Linked DNA regions of Schizosaccharomyces pombe. The gene in region 3 interacts genetically with the main gene of each other region. Each region holds a gene or a part of one and is shown on either strand. Other genes may lie near its edges.

Region 1 (4,193 bases), on a different chromosome or scaffold from region 3:
AGACTACTCTTCGAACAGACGTGGCAGATCGAGGGATCGAAAGCGAGACTCGAACCCGAGACCACCGAACATGCACTATTGGGAGTACTAAACACTTCGACCAAGCCATTACAGCGAATACATATATGTATTAATAAATTATATAGAAAATAAATAAGTTAATTCGCATAAACAAAAGTTTCAACTTTTCATTGCAAACCCTTTAAAGCTTTTCATCGCGTGCACGCATATTATAAAAAAATATGATCTTATTTCTTTGTAAATAATAAAAATTCTCTCAGCTTTTATATAGTTGCGAAGAAGCATTTACTATTGCACAAATAGCCTTTCAAAATTCGAGTTGCCATGGTGTGAAAAACATGACCAACAGAGATTTTTGTATTAAGTTCATTGCTTATCCCTCTACCTTTCTTCAGAAATAACATTCACTCACATTCTGATAGTGCAAACAACCAACATTATAACTCAATGAATTAAACGAAATATAATAAGCTAAGCAACACGTAGTCAATTAAAAAAAATAAAAAAGTGCTATGAATGAAATCCTTTATTTTACAAACCTCTAAATGATGCTAAAGAAAAGCAATGACAAAAGTCAGAGCTACAGCCTCTCAAAGGTGAACACGTGGAGAACAAAATAAAACTACACTATTGCAGAAAACGACGGTATCACATCCAACTTACATTACAACATATCATAGGCAAACACTATAAGTACAAATATGACCTCGTGTGGTTTTATTTGCACATTAAACTCACTATTCCCTAGCTCGGCAGCAATTAAAGATTTTATTCATAGCAACAGGTCAGATGCTGCAAGTAGGAGTTGCATAGGAAATTGAAGGCGAAAGACTCTCTAGGAGTGAAAACATAAACCCCGTTAAACGAGATCCCACGAGTAGAAAGAAATGGGATTGACGAACAATTAACAAGAGATAAAAACAAGTATTGAAGTAGCTACACAATATACATTGCCAAGACAAATGCACTAGCTAAAAGCGAAACTTTTTGCATCTGGATGGCTTTAAATAGTTTTGACCAAGACGAAAAACATTTAGGAAAAGAAAACAAAACTTTTGAGTAGCAACGCAAAAATTGCTTTAAAACTATTGACTTTGAAACTGATCACTAAAAGAGGAGGGAAAATAAATCACACAAACTTAACGATACAATTACTCGTCCACAAGTCTACTGACGAAGAGGAAGAGGTATACGAAGAAAAATACAGCAAAACATGCCAGCTTGAAAAAGGATCGTTTTTGTCTAGAGGATACGTCTTTGAAGATGGTTGTAGAGTCGTGCATATGAGTGTTGGACATAATCATTTTGGCGTTCCAAGCCAACATGGGTACATTGAGAAGGAAGGTGATCCAAGCACCTGACAATAATAGAAGAAGGGCACTGAAAGCTTGAAAACCCATTTCTGGTAGTACATACCAGTTCAGTTTTCGAGACACTAAATAGGGAAAAAGATTAGTATATATACGAATCAGAGACATTTATCATTAATATATATCGTTAGAATGTGATTATTTTAACATACAATCAATGGGATTTATGAAATCGTCTTTCAAATCAGAGTACATCACTGTAAAGTACATCTGAAGCATGATATTTGCACATGTAAGCATAAGGCTGGTAAAATAAATCCAAGCAGACACCATTTTGGATGTTTAGACACTTATTTTGAGTTTTCAAACTTTTCTTTTCGATGGGTGTAATAAGATAACTTGTCACAACTCATTGATGGTAAAATGAGCGAACGAATCGTAACGACCACAAGTTCGAATCGCACTGTTGACATGAATCTTTACCAAATGGTAAGGGAACTCGAAAAATCTGGAAGTTTGGTTTTTATGTTTACTAATCAATTAGTACGTTAGTATATTTTTTATTTTTTATTTTAAAGAATGGGCTTCGATTGAATGATCGTAAAAAAAAGTGAATTCAAGAGTTCTATGCTAATATAAATCAAAGAGACGCATGCATGGACTATGAAACGTAAACACTTCAAGTAGAAGTAATCATTGTGTTATATTCTTTAGCTTTAAAACCGCTTTAGTTAATAAAATATATAGTCTGGGTTGAAAACATTTACAATTATTCACACTGTATAGAATTAAATAATTTTACGATAATTCGATCCTTAAATATCATCATCAACTTGTTCCTCTTAGTTGTAGAAACAATTCTTATGCGTTTTTTTCGTAAACAGTCGTCAAATATTAAACTATTTTTGTTTTGCAATAATTCAGCCAACATTCAATTGGCTTCTACAATGAACATTCATTCTTAAATTAAAATTTTCTAGAAGAATAGTATGAAGGTTTTTAGCTGTTAGGATACACAATTCAATTTGTTATATTGCTAGTGTACCACTTAGTGCACATCTCAATCATTTATAATGCTTCGTTCTTTCTCTATACTACACAAGTTACCATTGACTCGAGTGTTAATCAAATTGCAATTGTATATACGAAAAATATAAGCATAAAGGTGAGGCTCTGGAGAAACAAAAAGCTATTGTGACATTTTTTTGGAATACAAATAATTTTGAAAGTTTTTGGGAATTTCGCAAGGATTTCGAACCCTTATATAAGAATCGAATTACAGTCATTTAACTATTGATCATTTGGTACTTTTTTACTCTTTGGTTTTATTTAAATCTTTCAAAAGGATGACGGGCGCAACGTTAACTGTTCGAGTAATTCGCAACTTTGAATATCGGACACTGAAAAACGTCGTTTTCCACGACATAGATCTGGCCACTACGACTGTAGACCAGTTCAAAAAAATCATCGATGAACGCATACAAACGGATCCCTCATTGAAAATCTACCGTACTACCCATTTTGACACGTTGAAGATTTATGTGAAAGCCCAGCAGCACAAAACCCAAAACTTGGCTATTAATTTAGACCACGATGATTGGATTCTTAATGATGGAGCCAAAACATTGTCTCTTTGTGGAATTGAAAATGAAACTGAGTTGTCCTACTTTGAACTTGCTGCCTACAAGGCCTATCAAGCAAATCCTGTACAAAAATGGCTTTAGACATGCATAACTTTATTAAGAGTTCAATTGTTGGTGTTAGGAATAGGAGATGAGTTTACCTTTGTTATTTAAATTGAATATTTTTCAAACTACGCTAAAAAATTCCTGATGTCTTTATTAGTGCAACTATTTAAAATTACCTAGGTCGCTGTTGCAATTCATGTATTGACAATAGCAGAATGCATTGTAGTGAGCAAAAGTATGTAGAATAATAAATGATACAAAACAATACGCATTTTAAACCAAATGTTGTAAACATCGACTTTATGACTTGGTACCAATAGCACCAAGGACGTCCCTATCTACATATTTATATAAGAACAAAACATTTCTCATTCATCAAAACGCTACACCAATACTTAATAAAAAGTTATTTTAAAAACAAGCAAAAAAAGAGTTGCGCGGCCAGGTTTCGATCCTGGGACCTACGGGTTATGAGCCCGTCGGAGTTCCACTCTCCTACCGCGCACAAATACCGTCACCAGCAGGATTTGAACCTGCGCGGGCAAAGCCCATTAGATGACTAGAATACAGGATTCAAGTCTAACTCCTTAACCACTCGGACATAGTGACTTTAGCTGTACATTTATCATGAAATGTAATTTATATAGCCAAAATCAAAAATTTCTATGTAATTTTTGATAGGAAGTTTCCAATGCTCAAATGGTTGATTTCACAAAAGCATTGCTTTATGTTAAGAAAATATTGTTTTTGGTGTTAGAATATATTTTTTTTATTATCAAAGTAAACTCCTAAAACTACAAGCTTGTCTATTCAGCTTAATTTCCATAAGTAGCTAGTGTTCATCCTTCAATTCAATGACTTTGCATTTGAAAGGATAGTTAGTTTATGAGACCTTAGGGATTTTGTGATTAAGTAGTCCAATTATACTTCTAATGTTATAATCAATAAACAATTACAATGCATTCAGTTTTTTATATCCCACATTGAAAGTTGTCAGGTATGAGTTAAAGTGTGTGATTAAAAGATTTTTTTTAATTAATAATAAGATATAGTAAAATATTGAACCGAAATTGATTTTCAACATTTCGCTTCTAACTTGAAATCCATTTTGTGCAATCTTGAACTTGCTCGTTAAATAGCACTTGTCCTTGACCCCCAAGAGACTTAAAATTCT
Region 2 (8,631 bases), 920 kb from region 3:
GATGGTTCTTACTCAAGGTCGATTGGATTGAAGTATCGCTCCGATGAGGAATGCTTTGTTGACACTGCTAAAAAGTTGTGGGAACGTGCTGAGGAGTTTCAAAAAAGTTAGAAAAAAAAATAAGAAAATGATTTCATGTGGCTCAGAGAGTCAATTGCTGAGGGTCGTCGAATTGGTAAACGTGATTATTACGAGGTATGAGTTAAACACAAATGTCAATAGAAAAATGAACGAGTAGAAGTTGGTTGGAAGAGAATTTAAATAAAAAAAAAAAAAAAAAAAAATTGGATGAGAAGAAATTTTAGTTACTAGCACATACACATGAATTCAAAATACGAGAAAGACACTAAATGGAATAAACGCTGGCGAGTTTATAGAATGTATCAAAATGTTTAGTAGCACACTATTTAGCGCAACAACAAAAAGATCGACACTTTTGTAATTGTGAAATACTGCAATGTGTCGCTGCATCGCTATGCCCGCATTCACGCTAGACGAGATAGTGGAAGTGGAAAATAGCGTTCACGAGCGAAGTGTATGCTACGAGGTGAATGGGTGTTTTTTTATTCCAAATTACGCTAGTTATCGCATTTTGTTTAATAAAATATTAATAAAATACAAAGCAGTGCGAAATGACACGTTAAAATGCTTAAGTGGATGAAAAAAGAATTTAATTTGCCTTAAGTATTTACATATTTACCTATAGAGAGAGGTAAAGAGATGAGCCATATTGCATTCACGTATTTCGTGCCATAGTATTTGTAGCCGATTTGGTAGGATTGCTTCATCAACATGTTGGACCATGTTATTAACACATGATAGGCAAGTTTACGATGGTCTTCGCACTATGATGTCCAACTTTTCGCAGCATCGAAACGGACAATTTTTTAGTACTTTGAGAGCGATGCGATCGAGCTGCTCTCAAAGTGTCAAATTTGCCCAGTAATTTCGACATGCGCTCAGTAATAGAAACTTCTCGTACTGGGCACACTAGCTAGAAACATGGCGCCCACACACAGTCGGACAAACGATGAAGACGCAGTACAAAGTAGGCAAAACAAAAACGGGAGACAGTGGGAATGTAATCGGTCAAGAGAATATTTCGCTCTCTACAATTTCTAGCTACTCAATCTTCTACTTACTAACAACTGATCCAATGTGCAGCAGTATTTATGCTAGAAAGGAGAAAAAGTCAAAACCAACTTTAAAGTCAGTTTGGCTATTTACCTTTTCAAGTCTTTATGGGAATAAAACAGTAGCGCAGCGTAATATTACATAGCGCACTCGATCGTTACAATGCAATTCATCTTGCAAAGTGCAGAGAGAGTGCATGAACATATTCTATACTGGACATCCATTCCAATTTAATCAGATAAATTAAAAAAAAAACAATTGCTCACAAATTCTTCAGTAATCATCTCTATTCGTAATCCTTATCCTTTATCCTTGCAAATTTGAGTATATCTACTCTCCTTCGTAATCTTCCCGATCGCACTCCTTTATTCCTCATTATTCCATTCAACACATTCTCTTTTCCTCGTTATTCTTTGCGCTTACTCATTTCTTACTAATCAGATCTGCAAGAGCTGCATTTGATGCCAAATGTGCGACACTTCTCAAACGCGAGGTGCTCGGACATCGGGCATCGGAATTTAGAAATTAGCCTCTTGCGTATCGCTGTATCGTGATAACAGCAAATGCTGTAGTTGACCGCGCAGCGGTAATTTCGGAACTTGGACGATCCCGACTATGTTTGAGTGCTTCGCTGCTAGGAAACGCTACTAAAGAGGTTTACGAAAACGCTATTTGTCGTTAAATTTACATTACTGAGAGAGTGAGAGAGCAAGTGTCTATAGCTAAAAGTAGCGCAGGAGAGGAAACGTTGAACGCGTAGTTAAATGGAAAAAAGGTAGGATTTGTCAGGTTTTAAACCAATATTCAAATTCATCAAGTCATTTGAATAAAAAATAGACCAAGAAGTAGGAAGTTTGAATGAAAATAGAGAAACTTTTCACTCACTTTTGTATTTCCCTTTGACATGTAAACAAAAGAAAGATAAAGATGAGCGCTCGTACCAGATGGACGATTCGGGTCTTTGTTGGTTTGCAAAACAATCTCTGAAATTATGAACAAACAAAAGAACTTTGTAAAATAATAAAAACTATGCTAAAGTCGGGGGAAATTTCGAGAAAATTTGGGCTTTTTCTGAGGTTAAACACTTTATAAAAGGGATTTTGGACTCTTTTCTCAATCTTTTTGATTCAAGAGAATCTCGCTTTTAATTCATTGAAATTTTTTTTGTTCTTTCTCTCATATTACACTCATTTTTATCGGTTTTTCATCTCATTTCGTCTCTAAACCCTCTCTTTCTTGTTGCGTCTCTTATTATCGAGTTGTCTTAGTCATACTATTATACAAGGCAAATTTATCGCTTGCTTGCTCCTCGGTGTTTAGTCGATCGCTTTTCTATGACATCACTCCGGAGAGTCAAAGCGCCGAACGAAATTGTTTACTAAAGCGAGTCAGCGGCCACCATTTTTTTCACATCATCTTCCTAGCGTTTGGCAGTTCATATTAAAGAACGAAGAAATTGCTCCCTACTTTCTCGATAACCAACTTGCTTTCTGGTTTATCCTTTGAAGCGCAACGAAACGTCGTTTTTATTGAGTTCGTAGAGACCGTTATCTCGATTTAGTTCCTTTTTGTTTGGTTTTCAAGCTTTTGTTGGAGTTCAGGAAGCTTTAGCTTTCTTACCTTTTCTCCCGTTTCCCTTGCATTTCCATTTCCCTCTTCCTACCTGTCTTCTAGATACATTTCTTTCCTCTTGCGGAAACTTATTGGATTCTCTTTCTTCTTTTGAAACGTGGCCTGCAAAAAGCCATTGTTTTTCAGGAAATTTTGCTTTTCTTATCTTTGAAACTAGTTCCTCTTCTAAAAAATTGGCGTTGCTTCTTTCTTCTTCCTATTTGCCCCTTCTCTTCCCTTCTTGTCATAAGCATACCTGTGGTGCTAGGTTTTCATCCCTGCTCCTATTATAAAACTTTCATTTACTCGTATTATTGACCAGTCGTCTTTCACTTTTTCAGTAGGAGTCTGAATCAACACGAATTGGCGATTCGTATTACGAGCAATCTCACAGGCAGACAAGAACGAAATTTTTTTTCCCCTATTGCGTTTGGGAAAATTCACTCTAATAAAAAAGAAGCCTTCTTTCTATATATTATAAAATATATATAGATAGATAAATATTTTTTATACATACAACCGTATACATATCTATTTATCTATATTTGTTATAGTATCTATTTGAACTTTCCAAAGGAGATCCTTCATTTTTTTATCTTCTTCCTTTAGTAATCTTACTGCTTTTTAAGCCAAGCTTAAAAAGTACTGTTCGATTCCCCATTCGTTCCTCTCCTAATTTTAAATTATTTTCTTCACCCACTTGTTAAACAATAAAACTTTTCTCTTCAGTGTACAGTGAGCTCGGTTGCTTACTTCATCATCACTCACTAATTTTGTTTGAAAGTCTTTCTGGTTGCGATTCGCTTTCGCTTTTTTTTTAAACTTGTTGTTGGTCGTTTTCCCTAGCGTTTTCGTTCAATTCACGTACTTTCGTTTGCGTTTTTCTTATTATTTTCACAACTTGAAGTTTACTGTCTTGTGAAATAGCGTTCTAATTCTTCTTACGTTTTGGTAATTTTGTCGTTTATTTTATTAAACTTTTCATTTCTCGTTTTTTTTAAATCGTTGGACGTCGATCTGCTTTTTTTTTTCAGCTCGATTTATAGAGTTCAACTTGTTTCAATTGTATCGTGGTGTTTTCAAAATTTTTTCTTTTGAATCGTTCAATTACTAATATAAAACATCATTTCCGGTTTTTTCTACTTTCTTTTTTCCTATCCTGTTCTATTTTGATTTGTTTCCCTTTTATATTCCTTTTTACATTACGAAATGAATCAAAATTCGGATACTACTCACGGTCAGGCCTTAGGCAGTACTTTAAATCATACCACCGAGGTTACGCGTATTTCTAATTCCTCTGATCATTTCGAGGATTCTTCTTCGAATGTTGACGAGTCTTTAGATTCTTCTAATCCTTCATCCAATGAGAAGGCATCACACACTAATGAGGAATACCGTTCAAAAGGTAATCAAAGTTACGTCCCATCTTCATCAAACGAACCCTCCCCAGAATCCTCATCGAATTCGGATTCTTCCTCATCTGATGATTCATCGGTCGACCGTTTGGCCGGTGATCCCTTTGAACTAGGGGAAAACTTCAACTTGAAGCATTATTTAAGAGCATACAAAGATTCTTTACAACGAGACGATATCATCACTCGTAGTAGTGGTGTCTGCATGCGCGACCATAGTGTTTATGGCGTTGGTTCTGGATATGAATTTTTGAAAACATTTCCTGATATTTTTTTACAACCTTATCGAGCTATCACTGAAAAACAAGTGGTGGAAAAAGCCATTTTAAGTCATTGTCATGCTCTTGCCAATGCTGGTGAACTGGTGATGGTTTTGGGACAACCAGGTTCTGGATGTTCCACTTTCTTGCGTTCAGTTACTAGCGATACTGTTCACTACAAGCGTGTCGAGGGAACCACTCATTATGACGGTATTGACAAGGCCGACATGAAAAAGTTTTTCCCCGGTGATCTTTTATACAGTGGTGAAAACGATGTCCATTTCCCATCTTTGACTACCGCTGAAACCCTTGATTTTGCGGCTAAATGCCGTACCCCAAACAACCGTCCTTGCAACCTCACCCGTCAAGAATATGTGAGTCGTGAGAGGCATTTAATTGCTACCGCATTTGGCTTGACACACACTTTCAATACCAAGGTAGGTAATGATTTCGTACGTGGTGTCTCTGGTGGTGAACGTAAGCGTGTAACTATTAGTGAAGGTTTTGCTACTCGTCCAACTATCGCTTGCTGGGATAATAGTACTCGTGGTTTGGACTCTAGTACGGCTTTCGAGTTCGTCAATGTCCTTCGCACTTGTGCCAATGAACTTAAAATGACATCCTTCGTTACTGCATACCAAGCTTCGGAAAAGATTTACAAACTTTTCGATCGAATTTGTGTACTTTATGCCGGTAGGCAAATTTATTATGGACCAGCTGACAAAGCCAAGCAATACTTCTTAGATATGGGGTTTGACTGTCATCCTCGTGAAACAACTCCTGACTTCCTCACTGCTATTTCTGACCCGAAGGCTAGGTTTCCTAGAAAGGGTTTCGAAAATCGCGTTCCCAGAACCCCTGATGAGTTTGAACAAATGTGGCGCAATAGTTCTGTATATGCTGACCTTATGGCCGAAATGGAAAGCTATGACAAACGGTGGACCGAGACTACTCCTGCTTCTTCTGAAGCCCCCGAAAAAGACAACTTTGGAAGCGATATCTCTGCCACTACCAAGCATGAGCTCTATCGTCAAAGTGCGGTAGCGGAAAAGAGTAAACGTGTTAAGGATACCTCTCCGTATACTGTGACTTTTAGTCAACAGTTGTGGTATTGTTTAGCTAGGTCATGGGAGAGATATATCAATGATCCTGCATATATTGGTTCAATGGCTTTTGCTTTCCTTTTCCAATCTCTTATTATCGGTTCTATTTTCTACGATATGAAATTAAACACCGTTGATGTATTCTCACGTGGTGGTGTTCTTTTCTTCTCTATTCTGTTTTGCGCACTTCAGAGTCTTTCTGAAATCGCTAATATGTTTTCCCAACGACCCATCATTGCTAAGCATAGAGCTTCTGCTTTGTACCATCCTGCTGCAGATGTTATTAGTAGCTTGATTGTCGATCTACCTTTCAGATTCATTAATATTTCGGTTTTCTCAATTGTGTTGTATTTTTTAACAAATTTAAAGAGGACTGCTGGCGGATTTTGGACTTACTTTTTGTTCCTTTTCATAGGTGCTACTTGTATGTCTGCCTTTTTTCGATCATTAGCTGGAATTATGCCCAATGTTGAATCTGCATCTGCTTTGGGTGGTATCGGTGTGCTTGCAATTGCCATTTACACTGGTTATGCTATTCCTAATATCGACGTTGGATGGTGGTTCCGCTGGATTGCTTATCTCGACCCGTTGCAATTTGGTTTTGAGTCTTTAATGATTAATGAATTCAAGGCACGACAGTTCGAATGCTCTCAATTGATTCCGTACGGTAGTGGATATGACAATTATCCTGTAGCTAACAAAATCTGTCCCGTCACCTCTGCAGAACCTGGAACAGATTACGTTGACGGCTCAACTTACTTGTATATTAGTTTCAACTACAAGACGCGTCAATTATGGAGAAATTTGGCTATTATTATTGGATATTATGCGTTCTTGGTATTTGTCAACATCGTCGCCAGTGAAACTCTTAATTTCAACGATTTGAAAGGTGAATATCTGGTCTTTCGCCGCGGCCATGCTCCTGACGCTGTAAAAGCAGCTGTCAATGAAGGTGGAAAACCGCTGGATTTAGAAACTGGTCAAGATACTCAAGGTGGTGACGTTGTTAAAGAGTCTCCGGACAACGAAGAAGAGCTTAACAAGGAATATGAAGGAATTGAAAAAGGCCATGACATTTTCAGCTGGAGAAATCTTAACTACGACATTCAAATAAAAGGTGAGCATCGCCGGTTACTTAATGGTGTGCAAGGCTTTGTTGTTCCAGGTAAATTGACGGCTTTGATGGGTGAATCCGGTGCTGGTAAAACCACTTTACTAAATGTACTTGCTCAACGTGTTGACACTGGTGTAGTAACTGGCGACATGTTGGTTAATGGTAGAGGATTGGATTCAACTTTCCAACGGCGCACTGGTTATGTACAACAGCAGGATGTCCACATTGGTGAATCTACGGTTAGAGAAGCGTTGCGTTTCAGTGCTGCTCTACGTCAACCTGCTTCCGTTCCTCTTTCGGAAAAGTACGAATATGTCGAATCAGTCATTAAACTTTTGGAAATGGAGAGCTATGCTGAAGCAATTATCGGTACTCCTGGCTCCGGATTGAACGTAGAACAACGTAAGCGTGCAACCATTGGTGTCGAGTTGGCTGCGAAGCCTGCTTTATTGTTGTTTTTAGACGAGCCAACTTCTGGTCTAGATAGTCAGTCTGCATGGTCCATTGTTTGTTTCTTGCGAAAATTAGCTGATGCTGGTCAAGCAATTCTTTGTACAATCCATCAACCCAGTGCCGTACTGTTTGATCAATTTGATAGATTGTTACTGCTACAGAAAGGTGGTAAAACAGTGTACTTTGGTGATATAGGAGAACATTCTAAGACTTTGTTAAATTACTTTGAATCTCATGGAGCAGTACATTGTCCTGACGACGGTAATCCAGCTGAATACATTTTAGATGTTATTGGTGCTGGTGCCACTGCCACTACTAATCGTGATTGGCATGAAGTTTGGAATAACTCAGAAGAACGTAAAGCCATTAGTGCAGAGCTAGACAAAATTAACGCTTCATTCTCAAACAGTGAGGATAAAAAGACTTTGTCAAAGGAAGATAGGAGCACTTACGCCATGCCTCTGTGGTTCCAAGTCAAAATGGTCATGACCAGAAATTTCCAGTCTTATTGGAGAGAGCCCTCTATATTGATGTCTAAATTAGCACTGGATATTTTCGCTGGTTTATTTATTGGATTTACATTTTATAATCAAGGTCTCGGTGTACAGAATATTCAGAACAAGCTTTTCGCTGTGTTTATGGCAACCGTTCTTGCAGTTCCTTTGATTAATGGTCTTCAACCAAAATTTATTGAGTTGCGTAACGTCTTTGAAGTTAGAGAAAAGCCTTCGAATATTTACAGTTGGGTTGCATTCGTATTTTCAGCCATTATAGTAGAAATTCCATTTAACCTGGTGTTTGGCACGCTTTTCTTCCTTTGTTGGTTTTATCCAATCAAGTTTTATAAGCATATTCATCATCCTGGTGACAAAACTGGTTACGCTTGGTTGCTTTATATGTTCTTCCAAATGTACTTCTCAACTTTTGGCCAAGCTGTCGCCAGTGCGTGCCCTAATGCTCAAACAGCGTCCGTTGTCAACAGTTTGTTATTCACATTCGTGATTACATTTAACGGTGTTCTGCAGCCTAATAGTAATTTGGTCGGATTTTGGCATTGGATGCATTCGTTGACTCCGTTTACCTATTTGATCGAAGGATTACTTTCTGATTTGGTGCATGGACTTCCAGTTGAATGCAAGTCTCATGAGATGCTTACTATCAACCCTCCTAGCGGTCAAACATGCGGTGAATATATGAGTGCTTTCTTAACTAATAACACAGCTGCTGGAAACCTCTTAAATCCTAATGCTACAACCTCATGCAGTTACTGTCCATATCAAACCGCTGACCAGTTTTTGGAGCGGTTTAGTATGCGTTATACTCATCGCTGGAGAAATTTGGGTATCTTTGTTGGTTATGTGTTCTTCAATATCTTTGCGGTGCTTTTGTTGTTTTACGTATTCCGAGTCATGAAGCTTAGAAGTACTTGGCTTGGTAAAAAGATTACCGGAACTGGTTAAATGTATTAATATGGGGTGTTTTGATGTTTTTAAGTTTTATGGTCTTTTTTTATACACTTTTTTTCTTTAAAAAATAATTTGTTA
Region 3 (8,635 bases):
TTTTGTCGACATACCATTTTAGATGTTCAACTTGGTACGTCTCCAGTGTCTTCTCTTCATGTTATAATGAACAGTGTTTCCGGTGCGAAGACGAATCCATTGAGGAATGGGGCGGTTTTGACGCGCAGCCTTGGCAAGCTTTTGCTTGGTACGGAAACTCTTGTGAGAAGGCATTTTGTGGAAGACAGAGTGTTGCATCCACGCAACTAAAGCGAATGTGACTGCTCTTTTTTCACAACTGTGACTGTCTTTTGAAGGTTTTTGTAGGATTTAAGGAATAATTTCAACATACTATGGTACATATTGCTAGTAACCGTTAAAACTGTTTTGTGAAATATGCCGTCAGAGCGTTATTTAAACTAGAATTGAGATACTGAAGAAATAATTAAATATATTTCAGTTAGTCCAAAAGCTTGTTGTTAGAAAAAGGCAGACGCATTCAAGAAAGTAGTGTTAGTAAGTAATATTTGGTTCAATCATATCAAAGTAAACTTGCTATTAATTTTACATTTGGGCTAGAAGCTCATATTTTAAGCATTGAGGTACAAAGAAGTTCCCAAGTCAAAAAACTTCTATTTTGTTACTACTATTTACAATTTGAAAAACTACGAAATCCGTACTTATGAGGGTCAATAAAAAAACAAAAAACGAATCCATTATTCATTATGAATCAAAGTTAATGGTAAGAGTAAAATGCCATCGTACCGATTACGATAAAATAGACAATTATTTGCACGTTAGCAAATTAAATTAATCAGTTGACCAAACAACATTAAATAGCACAGACATTAAAATTCCTTACATTGCTAGTAAGGCCATAATGCCTAAAAAGTAACCTTGTTATTCAATCCTTGAAATTGACAAGTTTTTGGAATAAAACACAAACCTGACTATGGATGAAGACATATCTAGAAGACAAACGACAAACATCCATTTTCAAAATAAGGAAATATTAAGTAATTTAATAGCATTGGTCATGCTTCATCGCATAATAGTATACATGACCTAAATAAAGGAAATTCGGAAATAACTTAACGATATATGAGGGAGTTAATCTAAACAATGGAAACCCTTTTACTGATCAGAAAGACAAAAAAAGGGCTCTTGTCGGGTATCACCCTTTTCAAATAAATTATGCTTTGTTCAATCCCTGTTCAACCACAAGTTCATAGTAACGACCGCGCTGTTTAACAAGCTCGGCATGAGTACCAGCTTCAGCGATAACACCACCATCAAATACGAAAATACAGTCTGCATCTTGGATAGAAGACAAACGATGAGCAATTGCTACCGTGGTTCTACCTTGAGAGGCGGCATTTAAAGCTTCTTGAACGACCTTTTCGCTATGACTGTCTAAAGCACTGGTTGCTTCATCTAAAAGGAGAATCTTTGGATTTCTAATTAATGCTCTAGCAATGGCAATACGCTGTTTTTGACCACCAGATAAGGAAGAGCCCTTTTGACCGCAAAGTGTGTTATAACCGTTGGGCAATCCAAGAATAAACTCATGAATATTGGCCTTCTTGCAAGCTTCAATCATCTCTTCTTCAGAGACATCTTTAGATGCGCCCAAAACAATGTTCTCACGAACAGTACCTTGGTACAACGTTGGCTCTTGAGAGACAAGGGCAATTTGTTTGCGGTAGTCGTTAATGTTATAGTCACGAACATTAACACCGTCCACCAATACAGCTCCATTGTCGCAATCGTAGAAACGCTCGATAAGCCCAATGGTCGTAGATTTACCACAGCCAGAAGATCCTACGAATGCGACAAACTGCCCGGGCTTCACAGTGAGGTTCAAACCACGAAGAACTTTAATATGCCTTCTGGTAGGGTAACTAAATTCAACTTGCCTGAATTCAATTGCTGCACTTTGAAGGGATTCAACTTTCTTTCCTTCCGTCGACCATGTATCAATTTTAGGTTTTGATTCGGACAAATACTTAATTTCACCGGCAGCAGCCTTTGCTTTTGTTACATCTGCTGAGTAACCAAAGAATTGACCAGCTTGTTGTATACCAAAGACAATTGCAATAAAACAAGTATAAAACTGAACGATGTTATATTCGCCCTTGCGCATTAAGGTAGAACCATACCAAAATGTCAATGCGTTAATCAAAAAGGTAACACCTTGAGCAGCAGAAAAGAATAAACCAGATTTCAATGATGCGATTGCCGACTCACGGCCAGGTTTGATGAGAGAATCACAATACTCAGCAAAAACGTTTTCTTCGCGATTAAGACTAGCGACTGTACGAATGGCTGAAGTTGACTCGCATGCGAACGCAGCTGACTCTTTGTAGGCAGCAGACAACTTCTCTTGGACTTGATCAAGAGCACGTACACGGTAATAACCAGCAGTAATGATAACAGGGGAGGTCGAAAGGGTCACCAAACCCAACTTCCATCCTGTAGCCAAAGATAAAATCGTAACTGAAATGATATTGGTCAAAATTTGGAAAAAGGTTCCTAAAGTCGGGCCGCTCAATCCCTCCAAAGACTGAATTTTCGTTGATAAAGAAGTAGTAATAGCACCAACTGTGTTCTCACTACGGTCGAAAAACTCAACATCTTGACGAAGCAATGTTCGAAATAGATGATAACGAATTCTTTGCAAAACTGCTTCCATTGCATAAGTCATTGCAAAATTGGAAATTGCATAAGCGAAGAATTGAACAATAGCTAGAATAAGCCAATAAACAGCAAACACGTTTACTTTGTGTAAAAAGTCTGTGGATGAGAGATCAGTGAAGATATTGAGAAATCTTGCAAAAACAGCTGCCTGAACAGGGTAAGCTGCACCACAAATCATAGAAGCCAAAATACCAATTAATAGACAAATAATCTCTATCATTGTCCGTACAAAAGAATGAATGAACCATAACGCTGTTAACGAATTAATCTCATGGTTGTTTTTCTTTGACTTTTTGGACTTTTTAGGCTCCTCATTAAGTTCACCGACATCTGCAGGAGGTAGGTTTGGAACAATTTCGGAAGCTACATGCTGAAGGGTTTTGTCTTCAAACACGACATTATCTTTCTCGTTGAGTTTATTATTCAACGTATCAGTATCCGTATTATGGGACATCATAGGGGCCTCGAGGCTAGCCATATCATTATCTTCATCATCGTCACCAAAAGACGTTATGGGTATTTCCCTCGGAGCATCCTCCAGTTCTTCCTCGACCATTTCCTGGTCTTTTTCTCCACCTGATAGCTTTTGAGCTTCTACTAGTCTAGCATAAGCACCATTCAGATCTAACAATTCATTGTGGGAGCCCTGTTCAACAATTTTTCCTGCATTCACTACGACAATATTATCAGCGTTACGAATTGTAGAAAGACGATGAGCAATAACGATAGTGGTACGAGATCTCGATGCATTATCTAGAGCTTTCTGAACAAGCACTTCACTCTTAGAGTCTAAAGCACTTGTGGCTTCGTCCAACAATAAGATCTTGGGATCACTAATAACGGCCCTAGCGATTGCAATTCTTTGTTTTTGTCCTCCTGACATAAGGAAACCGCGTTGTCCAACATTAGTTGAAAATTGCTCGGGTAATGTCATAATAAAGTCGTAAGCGTTGGCAAGCTTAGCGGCATCATAAACTCTTCTTTCCAATTCTTCCTTAGACAAGGTACCTTTAATTGTATCAGGCAGGCCATAAGTTATATTTTCAAACACAGTTGTAGCAAACAGAACCGGTTCTTGTTGTACCAAAGATATTTGATTTCTCAGCGAAGCAACGTTCAGCGTTCTAAGGTCTTTACCATCTAAGAAAACCTGCCCACCAATGGGGTCGTAAAATCGCTCAACAAGTCCAATGATCGTGGATTTGCCGCTACCACTGGCACCTACTAAAGCAGTAATTTTACCAGAAGGGCATACCAAAGAAAAGTTATCCAGCACTAAAACTTCAGGACGAGTAGGATAAACAAATCGAATATTTTTCAATTCGATCTCCCCTTTAATATCTTTGACTACATCACCAGTAGGTGTAAAAGCATTAATTGGACTAACACGATCAATTGTGTCGAAAATCTTTTTAGCGGCTGAGGCACAACTAACAAATGACTGCATCTTAGGAGAAATGTTGGCCAAACTATAGGAAGCAATAAGGACGGCGAAAAAGCAGCCAATTAATTTGCTAACATCTAAATCACCTGCATGTAGGAGGCGTCCACCTTCCCAAAATGCAAGACCGTAAACACCATACGCAACAAAGAACATCCATCCAACCATTAAACCCATTGCAATTGCCTTATTGATACCGAAGCGTTGTGCAGTTATTAAGTACTTATTGTACAATTTTGCAAGAATATCTTGGGTACCAAAAGCAAAAGCATTTCTGATATTGGAAAACACTTCTTCCACAAATGTACTGGATTCGGCAACGACGGCGATTTGACCTTTGGTGTTTTTGGTAATAAAGGGAACACCCAAGCCGATACCACCACAAATGGCTGGAAACATTGAACTCAATATCAATGTGAACTTCCAATGACGAATAAAAGCGATAACAAAACCAGATACAAAGGTTGCTATTGCAAAGAACACCAATCCGACCTTCTCACCTAAACCATCTTGAATAAAGTTTGTATCAGTAGTAATTCGAGTGGTAATTTCACCGGCACCTAGACGATCGAAATAACCGATATTTTGGGAAAGAATGGCATGCAAATAATCTTGTCGAATACGACGGGCAATCCGCTCTCCTGCAATAATAAAGGTTACAGTGTAAATATATGAACAGCCAAAGACACCAATTGCGATGTAAATAAAATAAAGACAAAAGTGATCTACAGTGTGTTGGAAAGATGACGCTCCTTTGCCAGAGGCAAGGTCGGTAAAAGCTTGAGCCAGCTGACCGGATACAAGGGACATCAATGGCATACCCAGGCCGGCACCAATACCAGTAATGGTGCCTGCCAATTGCAGCATAATATCCCATTTATCGGCGTATGAAAGGATTCTAGGGTATCCAGAAAGTTTGGCAGGTGTGTCATTAATTTGTTTGTAAAGGATTTCTTGTTCTTCAGGAGTATACTGTTCAAAAGGATCTTTGACAACATCTACCACGTGGCTTTCAGAAGCCTCATTCTCGCTTTTCTCTGTTGAAAAGTTTTTTTCATTTGAAGGTATGCTTTTGATAGAAAGGTCCAAAGAATGTTCGTTATCCTTAACCGTAGAAGTGGATTTTTTACTATGCAAAGACATGATTATGCAAATTCTATAAAATTAAAACAAATTAAGAAAACCAGTTTGAGGATCGAGAGTAGAAAATGGAAATTAAGAAAAATAGGTAGGTTTAAACAAACGGAGATGTAGAAGATGAAAAAAATAATTTAAACCAAATAATTGGAAACTAAAATCGTAACACTAAGAAAAGGGTTAGAAGTCGTTCAAATAACAAGTCATCAATTATGGATAAAAAAGGCTAAAAGGGAGAAGAACGTGAATGGAATTGATAAAACGAATATCGTCGTAATTATTGTACCAGTTAAAATTTTTATTTAATAATTGGAAAAATCTGGTCAGTGAAAAAAAGCATTGAAGCAAGAAACTTTCAACGCCTATAGCATCCAGTACAACAAAATTTAGCGTTGAACCTTGTGAGGATAAAATCAGCCAACAAATTATTTCACTCGAATGCTTGCAGATGCATATGTGTCTTAAAAATAACAAAGAAAAAAATATTCCTACCCATCCATGAACTATCACAATAATCATTATAATCATAAAAGCCAAGCAGCATCTCAATCGTTCTCCTTCTCATCCAACTTGTAAAGACAGACTATTAGAGCTGAGACAATAATAATATTGCCATGTTACCATTTTGCCAATTCGCATCATCGTTCCTTGTTCAATCCATCCACACACACAACACTTACCAAATTACAATACAATTAACACAGTAGGGTTTTCCCAAATTTTGACAATTGTCAAAAGGCGTAAAAACGTTTCTTCCACGTCCTGATAGGGAATTGAAGTTAAGTTAATACCTCTTAATGCTAAATACTCTAATAAGCAAGCGCAGTCTTCTGCGACTAAACAAAATTCAAGAAAAAGCAAAAGAGTATAGTGATTTGAAAAGTACAACTAAAAATCCCTGTCTAATCAATATAAATGCACACTCGGCGCTTGTTTACCCTCCTCGGTTCCGAGGAGTTAGTTTTTATGAGATGACTAAGAATGAAGTATTTGTCTTTCACGTATTGCCAAATAGTGCGTTTTAGCATGTGGAGGCATAAGCCACAATTAAAGGCGGATTCAGACGTAGAAACAGATAGAATTCGCTAATGTGCAGTTGCGCATTTTTTAACCAAGATAGCAAATTACTTGAAACTACGGTGCTTAAAATTGTGATCTCTATGTTTATATTTTAACAATTGTATAACGAATGTAAAAACTGTAATGAGTGCGTAAAAACATTGTAAACTTTTATATCGTTATATCTCTATATTACGCAAAATTGTCTATCACTGATTATTATATAATTCCCATTAATGAGGTTATCCAACTAGAATTCATATTCATCAACTGAAATGATCAAACTGAGAAAAAAATTTAAATAAACATATACTAAACTTAGTAGAACACAGTTGAGCCTACATTCATCAGTTCAATTAGTGGGCTATACTTCAATTGAGTATTTTACTATTATGCTGGTTTAGCTTAACTATCTTAGCATCAGATAACATTACCTAGGAGCTTTTTTGTCGCTCGCTATTTAGTAAACAATAACATAGATTGGTCTAAAACAAATTAACAAAGAAGTAGACATTGACGAATTTGGTTTCATTAAAAAAGAGTTTAAATTTTGAGAAATAATCATGAAAGAAATATAAACGAAATTATGAATACAACCAGACTGAGCAGTAGGTTTCCTAATTCCACTAGTTGATTTGATAGTCAATCTAAGAATCGCAATTTATCAACGTGGGTTGACATGAATAGTAACCATCATCAACGCATTCTTGCAATAATGGATATGCAAAATCCCATATAAACATGTCAAGTAGCATTGTAGAATGCTTTTAAGTAACACACTGGTCAACAAATTAAATGATAACAAAAGAACGAGATAAAAATATACAGTACAAAAAGTTGGCAAATGATCGACCATACTTAAACTTCCAAATTAAAGCATTATGATTGCAAAGTTACTCCATTGCGTTGAATATTTCGTGAAAAGAGATTTTGAGAAAAGCGCTTCGCGACTATTGACAGTACCAAGCAATAATGAAACTAAACTAGGTCTTCGGGACTTGTTTCATTCAATTGATTGTAGTTATTTTCAAACGCATTTTTTCCGCCACCAAGAGCTTAATATCGTTAATAGAAAATTCTTTGCAAGAAATATCTCATTATTTATAGAACATACATTTAATCCATGCCACGGTATTTATGAACAAATGAGTGCTGCATGATCTGAGTTGTACTGTATTATTAATATAACTAAATTATTACAATAACGAACCTGATTCATTTAAGCAAAAAGAGATGCATGATACAGGAGTGAGAATGCTAGATAATGTTGAGCATTTCCATCCCCATTTATCACCAGAAAGAAGAACTAAAAAATGTTCAATCGTTTTCAAAAGCCCATAGAAAACAAAAGTTTTTAAAAATGCACACACAATGTATTCCTTCTTGAAAGGGCTTATCACTTTTTTCAAAAAGTGCTTCACAGTCTTGGTCCAAGTTTCATAGTAGTCTGAAGAGTTAGTGAATGAACTGATAACATCCTCACAATTTGCTTACAAATTGAGCCGCTAAACAATATCACAGAGATTATACCGAATATAACCAAAAAAGCTATAAGGAAAGTGTGTGTGTGCTCAAAAGGAAGCACGCAACCAAGCACAACAATTGCAAAATAAGAATAATAAACAATACAAAAAGAGAACTTCAGAAGTAGACTATGGCTTGTGGGCGATTGCGTAGATCCTGTATTACTTTCGATGCTGTGATCTGGAGTTTCTGAAGCTTGAGACACAGGATTAGCGGACGTCAGAATATCTGAATGCATTAGTAAATGCTGAAACTTCAAACATTAACAGGAATTTATATTATATTTGAAAGAAAAAAAAAGCTCACCGCGCTTAGAATCGAAAATTTGAGTAAGTCGAATGTAACCAAATAATCACAAACATGTTATTTTTAAATAACATCAAGATACAGTTTTTACTATAATGTTTTCTTTCATATTAACAACATAACGTACCTGAATTTGAAGGCAATGTGCTTTTCTCCTCCGAATTGTGCTCTGAAGGTGGGCTTCCTTCCAAGTCAATTTCATGTCCTGCCTTCAATCCCATTTCTTCATCTAAAGAGCTGCTTAAGGAAGTATAATTATTGCTCATCTTATTAAATGGAGGTAAGATATACTCAAAAATATACCAATTGCTGGGATTGCGACAAACGTAAGAGCTATTAAGAAAACCTCTTTTATCAACAATTCAATGTAGAGCGGCGATCAATAGACCTCTAAAAAAGAACTAACTGTTTCTTTTAGCTTCTCAACTAGTATCAGAAAAAAAAAATCTTTCAAAACCCATCTCTAAAATGCGATTTCCTCTTACATACCCATTTTGTCACTGCTCCTTTTATAACGTGCAACGAAAATAC

The links.
Region 1: mutations in pmd1 (region 3) and cor1 impair growth when combined (synthetic growth defect), as found in Schizosaccharomyces pombe (one study listed by BioGRID).
Region 2: mutations in pmd1 (region 3) and bfr1 impair growth when combined (synthetic growth defect), as found in Schizosaccharomyces pombe (one study listed by BioGRID).

The regions. Positions count from the first base shown.
Region 1 is NC_003424.3:4,264,584-4,268,776, reverse strand, and holds cor1 (cornichon family protein), read right to left. Parts: upstream 1,723-4,193; 5' UTR 1,665-1,722; coding exon 1,544-1,664; intron 1,457-1,543; coding exon 1,173-1,456; 3' UTR 698-1,172; downstream 1-697. Other genes in the region: protein aim29, read left to right, coding at 2,678-3,055.
Region 2 is NC_003421.2:709,331-717,961, reverse strand, and holds the start of bfr1 (plasma membrane brefeldin A efflux transporter Bfr1), read left to right. Parts: upstream 1-2,543; 5' UTR 2,544-3,954; coding exon 3,955-8,547; 3' UTR 8,548-8,631. UniProt on the Schizosaccharomyces pombe protein: Confers hyper-resistance to brefeldin A (BFA), an inhibitor of intracellular protein transport. Could serve as an efflux pump of various antibiotics.
Region 3 is NC_003421.2:1,632,560-1,641,194, reverse strand, and holds pmd1 (leptomycin transmembrane transporter Pmd1), read right to left. Parts: upstream 6,103-8,635; 5' UTR 5,896-6,102; exon of another isoform or gene 5,669-5,895; intron 5,484-5,668; exon of another isoform or gene 5,384-5,483; 5' UTR 5,222-5,383; coding exon 1,133-5,221; 3' UTR 624-1,132; downstream 1-623. Other genes in the region: rpl39 (60S ribosomal protein L39), read right to left, coding at 19-174; wtf element Wtf15, read right to left, coding at 7,253-7,329, 7,389-7,445, 7,485-7,721, 7,769-8,026, 8,232-8,370.